Linked DNA regions of Saccharomyces cerevisiae S288C. The protein of the gene in region 3 purifies or fractionates together with the protein of the main gene of each other region. This does not show direct contact. Each region holds a gene or a part of one and is shown on either strand. Other genes may lie near its edges.

Region 1 (3,590 bases), on a different chromosome or scaffold from region 3:
ACAATAGAACACCGCGCGCTTTCTTTTGGGGCTGTCTGGAGAAACCAGTGAAAAGTGCGCACGCGTATTGCGGCTTAAAAAGATACCCGTCCATTCAAGAATGGCCGATTTAACAGAAAAGAGTAAAGAGATGAGTTTTGCGAGATCAGAAACAAAAACAAAAAGGAAAAAAAAAGGAAATTTTTTTGGGAGAAGGAAAAAAGGGTTAAGTCTGTAGAGAAACTCCGTAGTTCCCTTCTGTATTACTAATTGGTTACCAAGTAATAAATACCTGAGAGTAGTAATATATAAAAGAGAAATCGTATAAGGACCGTGTTAAATTTATATATATTAAGGAAGTCTTTCGGTTGGTAGTGTGAGATAACTAATTCTTTTTGGAGAGCCTTCTTCTTTGCTCTATCGTGGTAATAATCTACATATTCTCACAATCGCACACGTACGCTTTCTCTCTCACAAGTAACAAATTATTCTTTTTGCATTATAGACTACGTACGATAAAAATATAAAAACAGAAAATGGTCGAAGGTGATTTTGTCGATGAGCAATCGAACATTGCCTTACTAAGCTCCAAATCCATGTGTGGTGATCATCATAGCGTCAAGAATAGCATAGGGGATGAGATCTTTAAATTATTGACAAAGATTTTAAATTCGGATGAGAAAGCAAGCGGAGATGTGCACACACTCGTTTCTGGGACCCCGGATCTCTCAAATTTTAACCTCGATAATGAACCACTGGAAAACATACTCGCTGTTTTCATAATATCTTTTATTATTGTAGTGGTTGGAGTTTTACTACTTGGGTTGATTGGCATGATATTCATATCTCTCCGTTCAGGCAGCAGTAATGATAAGAAACTACAGTCCAACGATGAAGAAAAGCAAGCACTTGCTGAAAAAGCATGAAATAAAAATAGATATAATAGATGGCACCGCTCTTCACGCCCGAAAGTTGGACATTTTAAATTTTAATTCTCATGATAGTAACGATCGTGCACATTCAATTAATTATCGCATACCAAACATTTTTTTTCCTTTTTCAATTCAACTAATCTCAATTTTTTAATTTTCCTTTTTTTATTTCCTTTTTTTTTATTCTCATCATACCATTTTCATTCGTTGTTGATATCTCTATTGTTTTTTTTGGCAAAATATAGTCTACATATAATATTTAATAATCTAATCTGATAGCGTTAATTTCCATACCGCCTCCTTTTATATCCGTTGGCACTCGACGGTTTCCGTATGCCGTCGGAATGCATCCGCTTCTTGGACTCCTTGATCGTGGTTTGCAGTATATCTACACTGTAAAATATAGAAGTTTTTGGAATGGTGTTACTCCATTGTGATAATATCTTTGGGGGTTCTAGCTTCTTTGGGTTATTCAACCTAGGAAATGGATTGCTCTCGCACGTCTCATCTCTGGATCTTGAAGTTTGCTTGAAGGAATGGTGTGCAGATTTTTCATTGGCTCTTTGGGGTAATTTGCTGGCTTTAACCAAATCTCCTATATCAAACCTGTTAGCATCCACAAATACTTTGGAATATCCTGGTGAGCCATCGTATAACAATTTCAAGGTATCTATTGAGGTTTGTGCCAGTTCTTTTTGGTTCATTTTCTTCACATGCATGATGTGTCTTTTCTCCTTATTTGAAAGGCATGTAACTTTTAGCGTCTCATTTTGACTACTGTTTTCTCTTTCTTTCCTGCCTCTTTTTCCAATGTGGCGTCTTTTATGATTATGTTTATTAATAATGTCTCTTGCTTTGTTCCTATAATAGTCAGCTGTTATACGAAGGTGATTCTTACCGACCAAGTGCGATTTACGAACGCTCAACGTGTCATGGGTCAAATACGAATGACAGTATTCACAATAGTATCTCGTCATTGCCTATCTCTTTCCTCTCCGTTACTTGAGCACCTTCATCGCCTACACTAGGAGCTCATATTATATCTTCAGTATAGCAAGAATATTTTCTGTTATCCTTAACGCTTACCCGCCTATGTACCTTGACACTTGCGGAAATCTAGTGTTCAATGATAAGGTACTGTGTGGAACATATGAAAGTGAAAAGAGTTTGAACCGTTTATTATCTCTATACAAGTGTCTCTATTCACATATAAAAGAGTGAAAATAAAAATAACTTTTAAGATTTTATTACCTACATGAGATTAGAAAAATCATAACTATATTACTCAGCGGCTGTGCCTGTTGTTGATCAAAAGAAAAGATCCGCCCCTTCGAACGTCTTAGTGCCGCCTTTTGCCCGCTTATCAATTTTCTCTGAGGGAACATAACGGCATTTATCTATTCGACTTCCAAATCTACATACACGTATATAGATACATATATATATGTGTGTGTGCGCCTGTGTGTACTAGCACTTCTCAATATTATAATTCTTCCGTAAAGTTCGATCGTGACTTCCTGTTGCACAGTTATCTTAAATAATAGAATAAAAAGCTAACGCAGATTCAAGTGGGGCGTTGTCAGGCACACAAAAAGACAAGACAAAAAGTAGCGTACTAGACTTACAGTTATGCTGTTGTGTAATAGAAAAGTCCCCAAGACTTTAAATACCTGTTTTATACTGCATATATTCACTCTGTTAACACTGGGTGTGTTAGTGTCCGGAATGCCGTCAAAAATGGTATCATTCGCCTCTCAGGAGACTTTGCAGAGAATAAATAATCTCCTTCGAGGGTCTGCCAATCGAGATGTTGACATTATTGCAGAATATTTGAAAAAAGACGACGATGATGATGGCGGCGATAAGGATCACCATAACATCGATATTGACCCTTTACCTCGCCGTCCTAGTTTAACGCCTGATAGGCAACTTCTAAAAGTCGGTTTGCATGGTGCTATAAGTTCAGATTTAGAAGTCTGTAGTAATTTGACTATAAATGAGGTACTCCTGAAATTTCCCGGTTCTAACGCTGCAGACGCTGCAGTAACACAAGCTCTTTGTAAGGGTATGGTGAATTTTTTTAATAGTGGGATTGGAGGTGGTGGCTACGTAGTTTTTTCTGGCAAAGACGATGAAGATCATCTATCCATTGATTTTAGAGAAAAAGCACCCATGGATTCACATAAGTTCATGTTCGAAAACTGCTCTCTATGCTCAAAAATAGGGGGTCTTGCTGTCGGTGTTCCAGGTGAATTGATGGGTCTCTATCGCCTCTTTAAAGAAAGAGGTAGCGGCCAAGTTGATTGGCGTGATCTAATTGAACCAGTCGCAAAGCTGGGAAGCGTGGGTTGGCAAATAGGCGAAGCACTCGGTGCCACTTTAGAACTTTATGAGGATGTTTTCCTGACATTGAAGGAAGATTGGTCGTTTGTATTGAATTCTACCCATGACGGTGTTTTGAAAGAAGGCGATTGGATCAAGAGGCCGGCACTATCTAACATGCTAATGGAACTGGCTAAAAATGGTTCCGTGGCCCCATTTTATGACCCCGATCACTGGATTGCAAAATCCATGATTGATACTGTCGCAAAATACAATGGAATAATGAACTTGCAGGATGTTTCATCGTATGATGTTCATGTTACTAAACCACTGTCCATGAAAATTAGGAAGGGCGCC
Region 2 (4,402 bases), on a different chromosome or scaffold from region 3:
GCTTTTGGTGGATTTACCACTAGCCGATGTACTAAAGGAAAATTTATCATCCCCATCATCCAGATTCGAAGAAAATTCTTTTAGATGATCTGATTGTACTAAATTTCCGTTACTTGCTTTATTTACTTCTTCATTATCCACAATAAGTGGTTTTACGTAGCTTAAGGAACTCTCCGCGCTGACATTTCTCAAAATGGGAGCTTCCATGACATCTACTGGCAACTTATCTTGCGATGCTTTAGTATCTGAGTTTTCAGACGTGTCTAGGGATAGTGAGCTACCGGAACTTACCTTGTGTTCATTAATGTAATTTTCAATATCATCTACCAACTTTTCTGCTTCTGAACGCTGCCGCCTATGTTGATTGTGGGTGGATGAGATTGCAATACTATCCCGCTCAGAATCATTATTACTCTCTATTTCTTCCTTAGTAGTATTGTTGCTTATTGACGTTGTTATTGACTTCATGTCCATAGGCGGTGGTGGAGGCCTCGAACGTTTTATCTTGGAGAAATGTGCATTTGAATTTGCGCTTGTTGTGAAGGGGTTGGTTCTCTGCCCAATGATGTTGTTTTCTTGTAAATATTCAATTCCTTTGTGATCGTTTCCTGACGCTTCCTTGGACTGTGTTAATTCAAGAGAATCTCCTAAGGTATCCTCAGCATTCAAAAATGGATTAGTATTCTTTAATGTTTCCTTTTGTAATGGTGCCTGGATAGAATGGCTCCTGCTATGAGCATTCCTATTTGGACTTCTTGGCGGTATATCAGGGGCAGAAGTTTCAGCCGTCGAAGTTCGTGCGATATTTGTTGATTTCTTTATTGTAGAGGGCACCGATGGCTTTCTAACGGATTTTTCAGAGTCATTGTTTTTACTTTCAGAACCAAACCGAAAAAAAGACCTTCGTTTACCTTTATTGTTGCTAAAGCCATCAAACATCACTGTATTATTAGACTTTACCTGTAGACTCCTTCAAAACCTGTAATTCGCTTTGCAGAACATGCTATTTCAACATTTTCCCTCTTAAACTTTTGCCAAATAATAATAGTGCGCTCTTTGAATCCGCGATGACATTTGAAAGAAAACATTAAATTAAACTATCGCTTTGCATACGGAGCAAATGCCATGAAAGAGAAAAAATAACCAAAAGGTTTTTTAAATATATCTATACACCTCCACTGTTATATGCGACTCAATGTTCTAATATATTCAATATCAGCTCTAATGCTTTGACTATATATTCACCGACTCCACCAATACTAATAACGCGGATGGTACTTGGGTGAGGCGCCTGAGCAAAAATAGTGTAATTTGTTGTATTTAAAGATTCAAGCCACATTTGTGACTCGTGAAGATTATTCAGATTCAATACGACGATATTACAATTTGTCTTTGATCGTAGATCATTTAGATTTTGATAAACAATATCAATATAATTTTGTCTTGGACACCTAACGTATGTCTTTAGAATCTGATACGAAGACTTCTTTTTCACTGCATCCATAGAAGCTTTTATGGTACCAATGCAATGTTGTTTGATTTCATCCTGCGTCATAAAACCCGGTTTATTACCTTCACTATACCTTCCGTCCTCAAAAGTTTTTGGCCCGGAATGACGATTGGAAGAATTCAATACATTTGATGGCTTATTAACAGCGTGTCTCTGTGGTTGTGTTTGATATGAAGTTGCACCTGCTTCAATAGTTTGAGAAGAGGAAATTGAATTTGAAGAGGGCGAATTCGATAAAGGTCTTTGTTGTCGTGGAAATTGATCTCCTTGAAGGCCACTTATTTCGTTATATGCCTTCATTTCAGAAATATGTTTAATCATTTGAGCTTTTGATGTTTCTATAATTGGCCTGGTTTTACTAATGTACGACTTTATATCAAACAAGCCATCGCCAATTAATGGAAGTTCGTAGAGGGCAAGTGATATCTGTGAATAAGTGCGGTTATATTCACGCTTAAAGTAGTTTATCACGTTAGCTTCACACTTGCCAAATTCTACTTGTGAAAAAAAATTAGAAAGCTCATTCATGAACTTACTTACATGACAAGCCTTAACTTGAAACTGTTGAAAATCTGGAACAACATTGAAACCAACTTCTACAATACTGGATGAGGGCTGCTCTCTTCTATAGCTTGTTATTATATGGCCTCTACCAGTTTCTATATTCTTGGGCAAATAAAACGAACCTGTCAAGTTAATATTCTTAGGAACTCTAAAGTATGATTTTTCGGATGGTGCCATCCATAATCGCTTCTGGAAAGCAAGCAGAACTGATAATACGAAGCAAGAGTCCAATATATTGAAGTCCTTCAAAACTATGTAGAAAAGCATGCCTTCATCTTTCTGCTCTTTCTGTGGATAACATCGTAATATATCCTTCGATATATACTTATGCAATTCATCCATGCACTCGTCGAACTGTTGTTTATCTTCCGTTCTCATGGGGAGTATGAGCAGACTACCTTTTATGAATTGCCCTGCATTCTTCTTAGTCGACCTTATCCTATCTAGGTTTTTCCATATATCAAAAGATTGGAATGCTTCAGAATTACCGACCTTCCTTCTTTGGCCATCATTGGATGTCGTAGGATAATGTCCTTGTGAAAGTTGTCCCTTCGGCTTGGTATGATGATACGCTAATCCTCTCCTTCTTGGGCGCATGATACTAATATTTTTTGCTTATATTAGTCGAAGGGAAACTGTTTCTCAACGTCAAACTTCTACTATAGTATATAATATAACTTTAATGTTTTCTACACTGCGATGCGCGCTGAAAATTCTAGCTCAAATAAAAAAAAGGTTACAACAAACCAGTAGCAATCATGAGAATAAGAAATATGAAGAAGTAATTAAAGATCATGTTGGAGTAAAAATCCAAAATATCATCTGTTTATTAGCATTCGTGTTAGTAGTATATTATCAAATGCGGTGTAAGAAGATGACATAAAGATTGAAAGACAGTCATCAAATGGAAGAGGAAATGCAACAACTCATGATGTAATAGGATAATGTCACATAAAAAATGGAAGATGAGATTATAATATTATTACGTAAGAATACCGATCCTCTTTTGCGGGTTCTTATATCTCGGGGAGAGCTTCTAGTACATTATTCATTCATAATATTATACCTTTACCAAGGATTGAATCCCAACAATCATCAAATTATTCACCCCTTTCTCAGGTCACTGGTTTGAAGCAAGTAAACTACATCTTCTTATACCGTATGCGATAATATACTAATAATATAAATACTACTAAATAGATGATGCTAGAATTCCATTAGAACTATAGTATACCATTTAAGTATTTATATTGCTATTGTAATATCTTATGAAAAGTTAATGTTCATCTGTCCCAACAATCTCTAACAAGTACAAAGATGACACGAGTTATGAGGCGCTGTCATAGGAACCTCCAAACAAGTTTGATATTAATTATAAGAAACATATTTCAAGCCCTCGTGTTGTATTACGGGCTCGAGTAATACCGGAGTGTTTTGACAATCCTAATATAAACAGTCTTAGGGAAGTAACCAGTTGTCAAAACAGTTTATCAGATTAATTCACGGAATGTTACTTATCTTATATATTATATAAAATATGAATCATACTAAGTGGTGGAAGCGCGGAATCTCGGATCTAAACTAATTGTTCAGGCATTTATACTTTTGGGTAGTTCAGCTAGGGAAGGACGGGTTTTGTCTCATGTTGTTCGTTTTGTTATAAGGTTGTTTCATATGTGTTTTATGAACGTTTAGGATGACGTATTGTCATACTGACGTATCTCATTTTGAGATACAACACCTCGCAAGAAATCGACTCTCGGTAGCCAAGTTGGTTTAAGGCGCAAGACTGTAATTTATCACTACGAAATCTTGAGATCGGGCGTTCGACTCGCCCCCGGGAGATTTTTTTATGTCAAGCACCTACTTTTAGCCGGCTTTCTGGAGATAAGTTCCCAGTAGTCGTTGTATTTGATTCTCTATTGGATAGTCAATGACACATTCGTGACCGAACAATGAGATATTATTGAGTACCGGGAGTATTATGTGTCATAATTTGTAGTATTATCTGTGTGACGGATTAAGTTTGCTATCTCAAATGCCGCGCGCGCGAATTGCTCATGATATAATAATAGCTAATAATATGATAATATGATAATAATAGATAAGATTACTGATAACATTATTTTAGTATTCAAAAGCGTATTACATATATATAGTCGAGTAAATACTTTTTTTTCAATGGGGAGTGGAAGGGACAGCCGCTCTGACCTGTTATTAACGACAGACAACACGGTACCAAAGTTATACAATGACTGTGCACTCAACGTGGAAGGAAAAAGTTCAATTAAAAAAAGATCAACTGAACAGTAAGATAAAAGACGAATG
Region 3 (7,571 bases):
CTTGAAGAGTTGGTAATTAGATTTGACAGCTCCTCTATTTCTGCAGTTGGAAAGTATACTTCAGCAACACTTACTAAGTAGTTGAGTGAGTCATCCTGTAATGGCACTATTTGTAGTACCGTAATGTTTGTGAATACGTTCTTAAAAGGTGTGTTCAGAGCTTCAGGCAAGTATCCGAAGATTTGAGCCGATGATTTTGGTTCTGATACAACAAATTCGTAGTTCAAAGCTTTTTTGAACCCTATTGTGATTAGGGTGTAGCCCTCAGGCTCGGGAACTTGTGTCGCGGCTGCAATTGCATGGGGCAAAGTCATAGTTTGTGTTCCTCCAACGGTAGAAGATGCAGTGGATGCAGCTTCTGGTGCCTGCGTGATTAACTCAGTTGGAATCCACCAATTGTTGTCACTTGAAGTGACCAGACTAAACGTACTGGAACTGTTAGTCGTTGATGGTTCTAAAACGGTCGTCGATTCCGTTGTTAAACTCGTCTGTACATTAGTATTTGTAGCAACCTGACTTAAAGAGGATGTTGATGGTGTAAGCAACAGAGAGGATGCCTTTGAAGATGGGGTTGGCGTAGACGTTGCCACTTCCAATGGAGCGGAAGCAGAACTGCTGTTTGCGTCGGTAAAAGATAGAGTTGTGGATTGAGTAGCCGCGGTTGTCTGGATGCTATGGTATTCGGAAGCTGTTGCATTGATTGAGCTAGTAATCTCAGAAGCTTGTTGGCTAACAGAACTACTTTCAGAAAGCGCTCCATGAGTGGAAATGGTGAAACGTTGGGAGGATGTAGTGGTGGGCTGTAGTGAGCTAGATGTTTGAGAAACGGACGACCTTGAACTTGTAGAAGGCACCGGAGTGTCTGAGACTTGAGAAACGGACGATCTGGAACTTGTAGAAGGTACTGACGTGTCTGAAACTTGAGAAACGGACGAACTTGAAGTTGTATAAGAAACCGGTGTGTCTGAAACTTGAGAAACAGATGAACTTGAAGTTGTATAAGAAACTGGTGTGTCTGAAACTTGAGAAACAGACGAACTTGAAGTTGTATAAGAAACCGGTGTGTCTGAAACTTGAGAAACAGACGAACTTGAAGTTGTATAAGAAACTGGTGTGTCTGAAACTTGAGAAACAGACGAACTTGAAGTTGTATAAGACACCGATGTGTCTGAAACCTGAGAAAGTATACCAGTGGATGATATAGTGTACTGAGATGATGAGCTTGCAGAATTCATTTGAGTTGTCGTCTGAGAGGGTGAGAATTCGCTGGAAATCGAAGAAGGCATTTGAACTAAAACAGAGCTGGTAGAAAAACCTTGACTAGATGTTTCACTTCCTTCTGTTGTTGAAGACGATGCGAATGAGGAAGTTTGCAATGCAGTTGTGCTTTGTGAATAACTTACCTGGGAAGTTTCCGCAGATGTAGATGATATGAGGGATGAGGCCTCTGTAGATGCACCACCTGCAGTGGTATAGGGTGAAGTTGTAGAAACAGAACTGCTAGCTAGCACAGCTGAAGTGCTTGTAGCTTGAGACTCCGAAAGCAAACTTGAAGTGGATGGAGGCTGTGATTGCAAATTTCCTGCCATATAAGTAGACGAGGAGCCCGACAGTGTTGCAGAAGCTGTAGATGCAGCGGATTCCTCAGAACTGCCAGTACTACTTGAATATACTATAGTTGATGAAGAGGGATTGGTCATGCTAGAGCCACCTGCTTGCAGTGAAGTATAAGAAAAGGATGAACTAACTACACTTGGAGCACTGGTGCTAGCAACATCTGAGGAACTTTGTGATGGAACAAAAGATACCGAAGGGCTAACAACGCTAAAACTGCTGGAAGTACTTGCTTGTTCTGAGGCTGACAACAGCGGTATGCTTGCTGTACTGGAGACGCCATAATCTGTAAGGTCTGAACTCGACGCAGAGGAGCTAGCTAAACTTGAGCTATCCAAAGTAGTAGACTGTAGCGAAGTAGTTGATAATAATGAACTCATTGTGCTCGAGGCACTGGCACCATATACCTCTGTTGAACTTTGAAATGCGAGGGCAGATGCGGATTGCGCTACCGAAACTACGCTCCCTGAGGTACTAGTTTGCGGTGGAATATCAGAAAAGGATGAACTAACTACATTTGCAGTACTGGAGCTAGCAACGTCTGAGGAACTCTGTGATGGAACAAAAGATACCGATGGGCTAACAATGCTGAAACTGTTGGAAGTACTTGTTTGTAAAAAAGGAGCCGATAATAATGCGCTCACTGTTGATGAAACATCGGAACCATCAACTTCTGTAGATGTTAACGAAAAGGTTTCTGACATAGTTGGATTATCTGTGCTGCTTGAGCTAGCTATTTGTCCTGCGGCGCTCATGCTCACTACAGGTGAGGCGCTTGAGCCATCAACGTCTGTTGAACTTACTGGTAGAGCTGCTGATGCAGTGGTAAAACTGCTTGATTCACTTGTTTGCAGTGGGGCAGCTGATAGCGATATATCGGTAGTAGTTGGAGAACTAGGGCTACTGAAATCCGCCGAACTTTGTACTAAAATTTCACTAGAACTACTAAAATCTGCTGAACTTTGCACCGGAATGGCACCAGCAGTCGAAGTTTGGTCAAAACTTTCTGAACTATCGGTGGTTGTTAGGGAGGCAGAAATAGGGTTTGCTGACGAAAATACGTTATCAGCTGCGGACATCGTACTAGTGGAAATAAGTGGAGTGTCCGAAGTGAGAGGTGCACTCGTTGTAGTCTCTATGTTACTTGTAGTTGTGAAAGGGATAGAATTAGCACTCGTATCAATGGGAACACTGGCAGTGGAGACATCAGAAGCTGCATTTACACTAGAAGCAGCAAAATCGGCCGATGTACTGAAGGTTGGCGCATAGTAGCTTGTCGTACTGGTAGATGGCAGTTGATTAGTAGACGCGCTCCAAGAGTTTTGATTAACGGCATAGTCGGATTCTTGACTGGCATATGACACAGAAGTCTGGGAAGTGGAGCTCGCATCATACCAAGTAGATGGGAGGGAAGAGATTGTGGCACTCACTATTGTTGCAGACTGGTGCGAATGAACACCTTGAGAATAGGCTGTTACCAAAGAGGTGGTGGAACTATCCTGAGAAGCTTCATTGGTGAAAGAAACTTGACCTTGACTCTCGCTTTGGCTCTGAGCTTGTTGCGTTCCATTGCCGAATATAAAGTCGAAGGGGCTGGCCCGGGCCAATGACCCACTAATTACAAGGGTCGATAGGAGACAAGCGAATGGAAACTGCATAGATGGGTATAATTAGGAAGCCTAATGAAAAGTCAATAAAAATAGGAAACGAGGTGGAAGCCAGCTAGAGATGAACAGAATACACAATAAGTCGTTAAAGGAATGAATAATATTTTCACAAATATTTTGGTCGGTTGGAACGAGCCGAAGTCAGATGCTTTTAGTTCTTCTAAGAGAGAGCTTATTACTTCTGGAAAAAAAGAAAAAAATGGTAAAAAACAGGTAAGATTATTTTAGCAATATTATGGGGTCCCTTGGTGAGGTCGAATAGTTTTGGTAATCTATTATAAATGTAAAAATGCAGGAAATAAAGAACTTGGTACTATGGAAATGTATAAAAGTTATATATATCAGCACGAAGATGAGATAGTAAAAAAACACCCACTGGTGCTATTTTGATCTGGCAACGCCCGACGTGTCTAGCCACTTGCTGCAAAACGCCCCGAAACGGTAATTTGTTTTCGTGTCTTCGCCTGTTTCAGAGCGAGCCTTTCCCTTTTGGGACGCGCGCCAAGGCCCTTCTGTTTCAGGTCCCCAAGCGAAATTCTTTACGACTCCACAGTCTATCAGCTATCGTTTCCCCGTCCTCGTCGAAAGTCTCCCTTAGCTCATTTAAAAGGGCCTGTTTGCTCTGGTTCACGCGGATGTTCTCAAGAATGTATTCCACCAGCTCGTCCTCGTAGACGCCGAGGAATTCACGCACCAGTTCGTCCACGTAGCGCGATTCCTTCAGATTAGTTAGTCTTATGTTCAGTTCATCTGCTGTAAATGGCAAACGGTCCTCTGCCGCGCTTCTCTCGGAGGGTTTTGTTGGAGGTAGCTCGCTCTCTCTGTATCCCTCGTCTTCGCTAGAGCTTTCAACTGAGTGATCAATAGCCTTCTTAAAGTCGAATTTGATCTTGACGTGTTCTGAGCTCTCAGACACATTCTTGTCCGCGTTATAGTTCTCGCTCTTCACAGTGCCTTCAGGAAGGGTGATGGCGGCAGCCTTCCCTGCAGATATGGCCTTACCATCCGATAGTTGTATAGGCGCCAGTTCCTTTGCATTTCCATTTTTAGCTCTATCCTCTTCGTCCCTTCTTTCCTCTTGCTCCTTGAAAGATCTATGGTGGTCGTAATGAACGTCGTTGGCAAGGTGTAATAGCTCCTTCAAATATAATGAGCGATTTTTCTCCAAATGTTCCTCATAGTTTTCAGCACTCATGATATCAGCCCTAATGGATTTTATCTTAGGCTCTGTATTGGAATGTAATTGGTGTAACATATCCTCATATCTACGATTTGATTCTTCCAGGTCTCTTTCTTCTTTTCTCTTCTCTAAGGCAAGGTCGTCTTCAGTGTCATCCTCCTCATCTTCATCTTCCATATTAGTATCCTCCTCCTCTGTATTGGCGCTCCCTTTGGCTCCTGAGTGGTTTTTCCTTATTTGATCAAAAACTTTTTGCATTTGGTGTCTTTGACGCCTACTTTCCTCGTACGTACTTTTCATTTTTTTTTCTTTCTCTATACTGACAACTTTTGTCCTAAATTCTATTATATCCTTGCACAATTGGTCCAAAGCATCCGATGGCAAATCACTTAAAGTGTTTGTATCCACTTTGTATTGTGTGGAAGAGTCATCCAACTGTTCTTTCTTTGAATTTCTTTCGTCTGTTTGATCTTCAATGTTTTTGAAAACAGAATAAAATTCGCTAGCCTTTTCTGGCTTAACACTCGGTATAGTTCCTGTTCGGTCTTCGACATATTCTTTTGTGTTCAAATCCAAGTGTAACTCAATCTTGAAATCCTCATGTAGCTTTCTAATAAACGCGAATAAGGCTTTGCAGTAGTTCAGCGTATTAACAAATGCCTCATCTTCATCAACCTTACTGAATCTTATAAAAATGTCCTGGGTATCTAAAAACGAAGAAAAAGAAGACCAAGCTTCTACTTTCAATGCGGAATTGCTTTGAGTTTCAGTCAACGCTAAATTCAAACAGTGGTCTAGCAATGATTCTATCTGTCCGCGAGAAAATGATGAAGAGACACCTTGTAAAGATACTGTATGAATCTGTTGGTCTAAGGAAATGGGAAGAAATTGTTTGAGCTCTTGGTAACGGGAAGAGCTTGTGGCGCACTTGTTAGCACTATTGTTATCTGCTATTGAAGCCTCTTTGTCTTTATTCAAACCAGTATTCTGGTCAGAATTGTGTATACTCCCATCATCGTTGCTATTTAGCAGTGTCTCTGATAAGCTGTTTCTGGCGTCAACTATATGTTTTAATGAGTCCTGAAAACGTTGTAGATCATTTTTGAGGATAGGGATGAACCCACTTTTGGCAGAATCACTTTTCCAACCCTCCTGTGATGACAAATACAGCTGCGGTGATACAAATACAATATCCCTCATGTTCTGTAAATCGACGTACTCTTAAGGAACTTTTATGAGCTTGATTTTGGTCCTGGTCTGTTTTTGTTCTTGATCTATCTAATTACTTTTGCACTTTTTAGCGGGCATCATTACCACGGAAAGTAGCAAAAAATGTAGCAGCGAAAACTGCTTTTTTATATTTGTTCCTACAATTTAATAGAAGATAACTCAGTACTGATTTATACATCTATGTTAGATATTTATTACTTCTTCTAATGACACGTCGTGATCGATTTCTTTAGCTTCTTTCCAGAATTTACTTAGGTGTCTTGAACCGCTGTCGCATGCAATAATCACAATGTTTGAGCCGTGAGGAAGCGTTTTTGCAACCTGAATAGCGGCTACCGCATTAATAGCTGTACTACTCCCCACGAATAGCCCGTCGTTTACCGATAGGTATTTTGCCATTCTAATGGCTTGATTATCGTTGACTCGTATTGATTCATCAATAAACTTTTCGCCCATATGAAAATTATGAGTGATTCTGTTTAACCCAATCCCTTCTACGATAGTGTCAACTTGATGCCTTCTTCTAGTACCTTCCTTCTCTACATAGTCATACATCACGCCATAGTTGACTCTATTATAAAAGCCAGATCCTTGTGGATCCGCTAGAACGACATGGCAAGGTATCTTTGCTCTTTCCTTTAAGAATTTTGCCACACCAGTTATGGTGCCACCAGTACCGCAGCCAGCAATGAATGCGTCAATATTTCCCTTAGTTTGATGGGCAATTTCTGGGCCTGTGGTCTGGTAATGTACTTTCCAGTTGGCTTCGTTTTCGAACTGATCGGCAAAAACTGCTCTTATTCCATTACCACTCTTCTTTAGTTCATTACATGCCTTTTTGGCGGCATTTACGTATTGGTTTGGATCGACAATACTAGCGGGCTTAACCTTATTAACAGTAGCACCGAGGCTTTCTAGTAATGCCAATTTTTCTAGCGATGTGTCATCGGGCAAAGAAATGTGTGCCCTATAACCCAACGCATTACAGACCACTGCTATAGAGATACCAGTCGACCCACTTGTTCCTTCAAATACCCAGCCAGGTTCACCTCTGACGAGCTCGCCTAATTCCTCAGCCGTCTTTATGATGTTTAAAGCCACTCTATCCTTAGCACTTCCTGCTGGGTTGCATAACTCCAACTTAGCGTAAATGTTAACTCCAGTAGCCTTGGTAAGAGATCTGATCTTAACCAGAGGAGTGTTTCCTATGAGTTCTTCAACGCCTTCTTTTGGACGTGGAATATCGCGTGTTTTGAACAGCTTATAGTATTTGTATGATGCATACGCGCCAATTAGGACGGAAGCGATGGATATGCATTCACGCCAGGCCAGACTGACAGAAGTCTTATTTTGAGAACAGGACATAAAGGATGTTTTGGTATATTCCGATTGATAGGGCTATTATGCAGTATTATACGGCATTGTTACTTCAAATATTACAAGACTTTTAAGTTACTATAGACGTGCAAAATTCAATATAGATCATTACCCGCATTAATAGTAACGCGAGTAGATCAAGTATCTTCGGATTCTGTATTTTATAAGCTAATTTTGCTGATTTACGTATACGATTCACTGGAATGTTTGTCTGAAAGGTTTTCCTTATGAAACTTACCGCTGGTGTGGTTATATTATAATTATTAAGTGTTAAAATAAATGTTTGACATTGTTCACATGATTGTTGCTCTGCTGTAAACATTTTAAATCGTGCATCCAGGAACTTTTTTTCTATGCACCTTGAAGAGGAAAGTGGTAAATTTGAACTGCTGCAGTATCAGAGTTGTAATAAACTCACTCTTTGCTATCCAAGACCTGCTTGACCGGTTCACTTTGATTAATGTATAGATTATACTCTTGGATGTAACGGATGACAGAGTTTG

Evidence for each region. The genes of interacting proteins can lie anywhere in the genome.
Region 1: the proteins of SNU71 (region 3) and YHC1 purify together in Saccharomyces cerevisiae (affinity purification with mass spectrometry; 7 studies listed by BioGRID). This does not show direct contact.
Region 2: the proteins of SNU71 (region 3) and SNU56 purify together in Saccharomyces cerevisiae (affinity purification with mass spectrometry; 8 studies listed by BioGRID). This does not show direct contact.

What each region holds. Positions count from the first base shown.
Region 1 is NC_001144.5:723,529-727,118, forward strand, and holds YHC1 (Yhc1p), read right to left. Parts: upstream 1,889-3,590; coding exon 1,193-1,888; downstream 1-1,192. Other genes in the region: YLR297W (uncharacterized protein), read left to right, coding at 516-905; ECM38 (gamma-glutamyltransferase), read left to right, coding at 2,541-3,590. UniProt on the Saccharomyces cerevisiae protein: Component of the spliceosomal U1 snRNP, which is essential for recognition of the pre-mRNA 5' splice-site and the subsequent assembly of the spliceosome.
Region 2 is NC_001136.10:942,482-946,883, forward strand, and holds SNU56 (Snu56p), read right to left. Parts: upstream 2,672-4,402; coding exon 1,193-2,671; downstream 1-1,192. Other genes in the region: YDR239C (uncharacterized protein), read right to left, coding at 1-939; AMD2 (putative amidase), read left to right, coding at 4,326-4,402. UniProt on the Saccharomyces cerevisiae protein: Component of the U1 snRNP particle, which recognizes and binds the 5'-splice site of pre-mRNA. Together with other non-snRNP factors, U1 snRNP forms the spliceosomal commitment complex, that targets pre-mRNA to the splicing pathway.
Region 3 is NC_001139.9:512,644-520,214, reverse strand, and holds SNU71 (Snu71p), read right to left. Parts: upstream 5,662-7,571; coding exon 3,799-5,661; downstream 1-3,798. Other genes in the region: MSB2 (Msb2p), read right to left, coding at 1-3,272; MCY1 (putative cysteine synthase), read right to left, coding at 5,875-7,056; nicotinamide-nucleotide adenylyltransferase NMA2, read right to left, coding at 7,483-7,571. UniProt on the Saccharomyces cerevisiae protein: Component of the U1 snRNP particle, which recognizes and binds the 5'-splice site of pre-mRNA. Together with other non-snRNP factors, U1 snRNP forms the spliceosomal commitment complex, that targets pre-mRNA to the splicing pathway.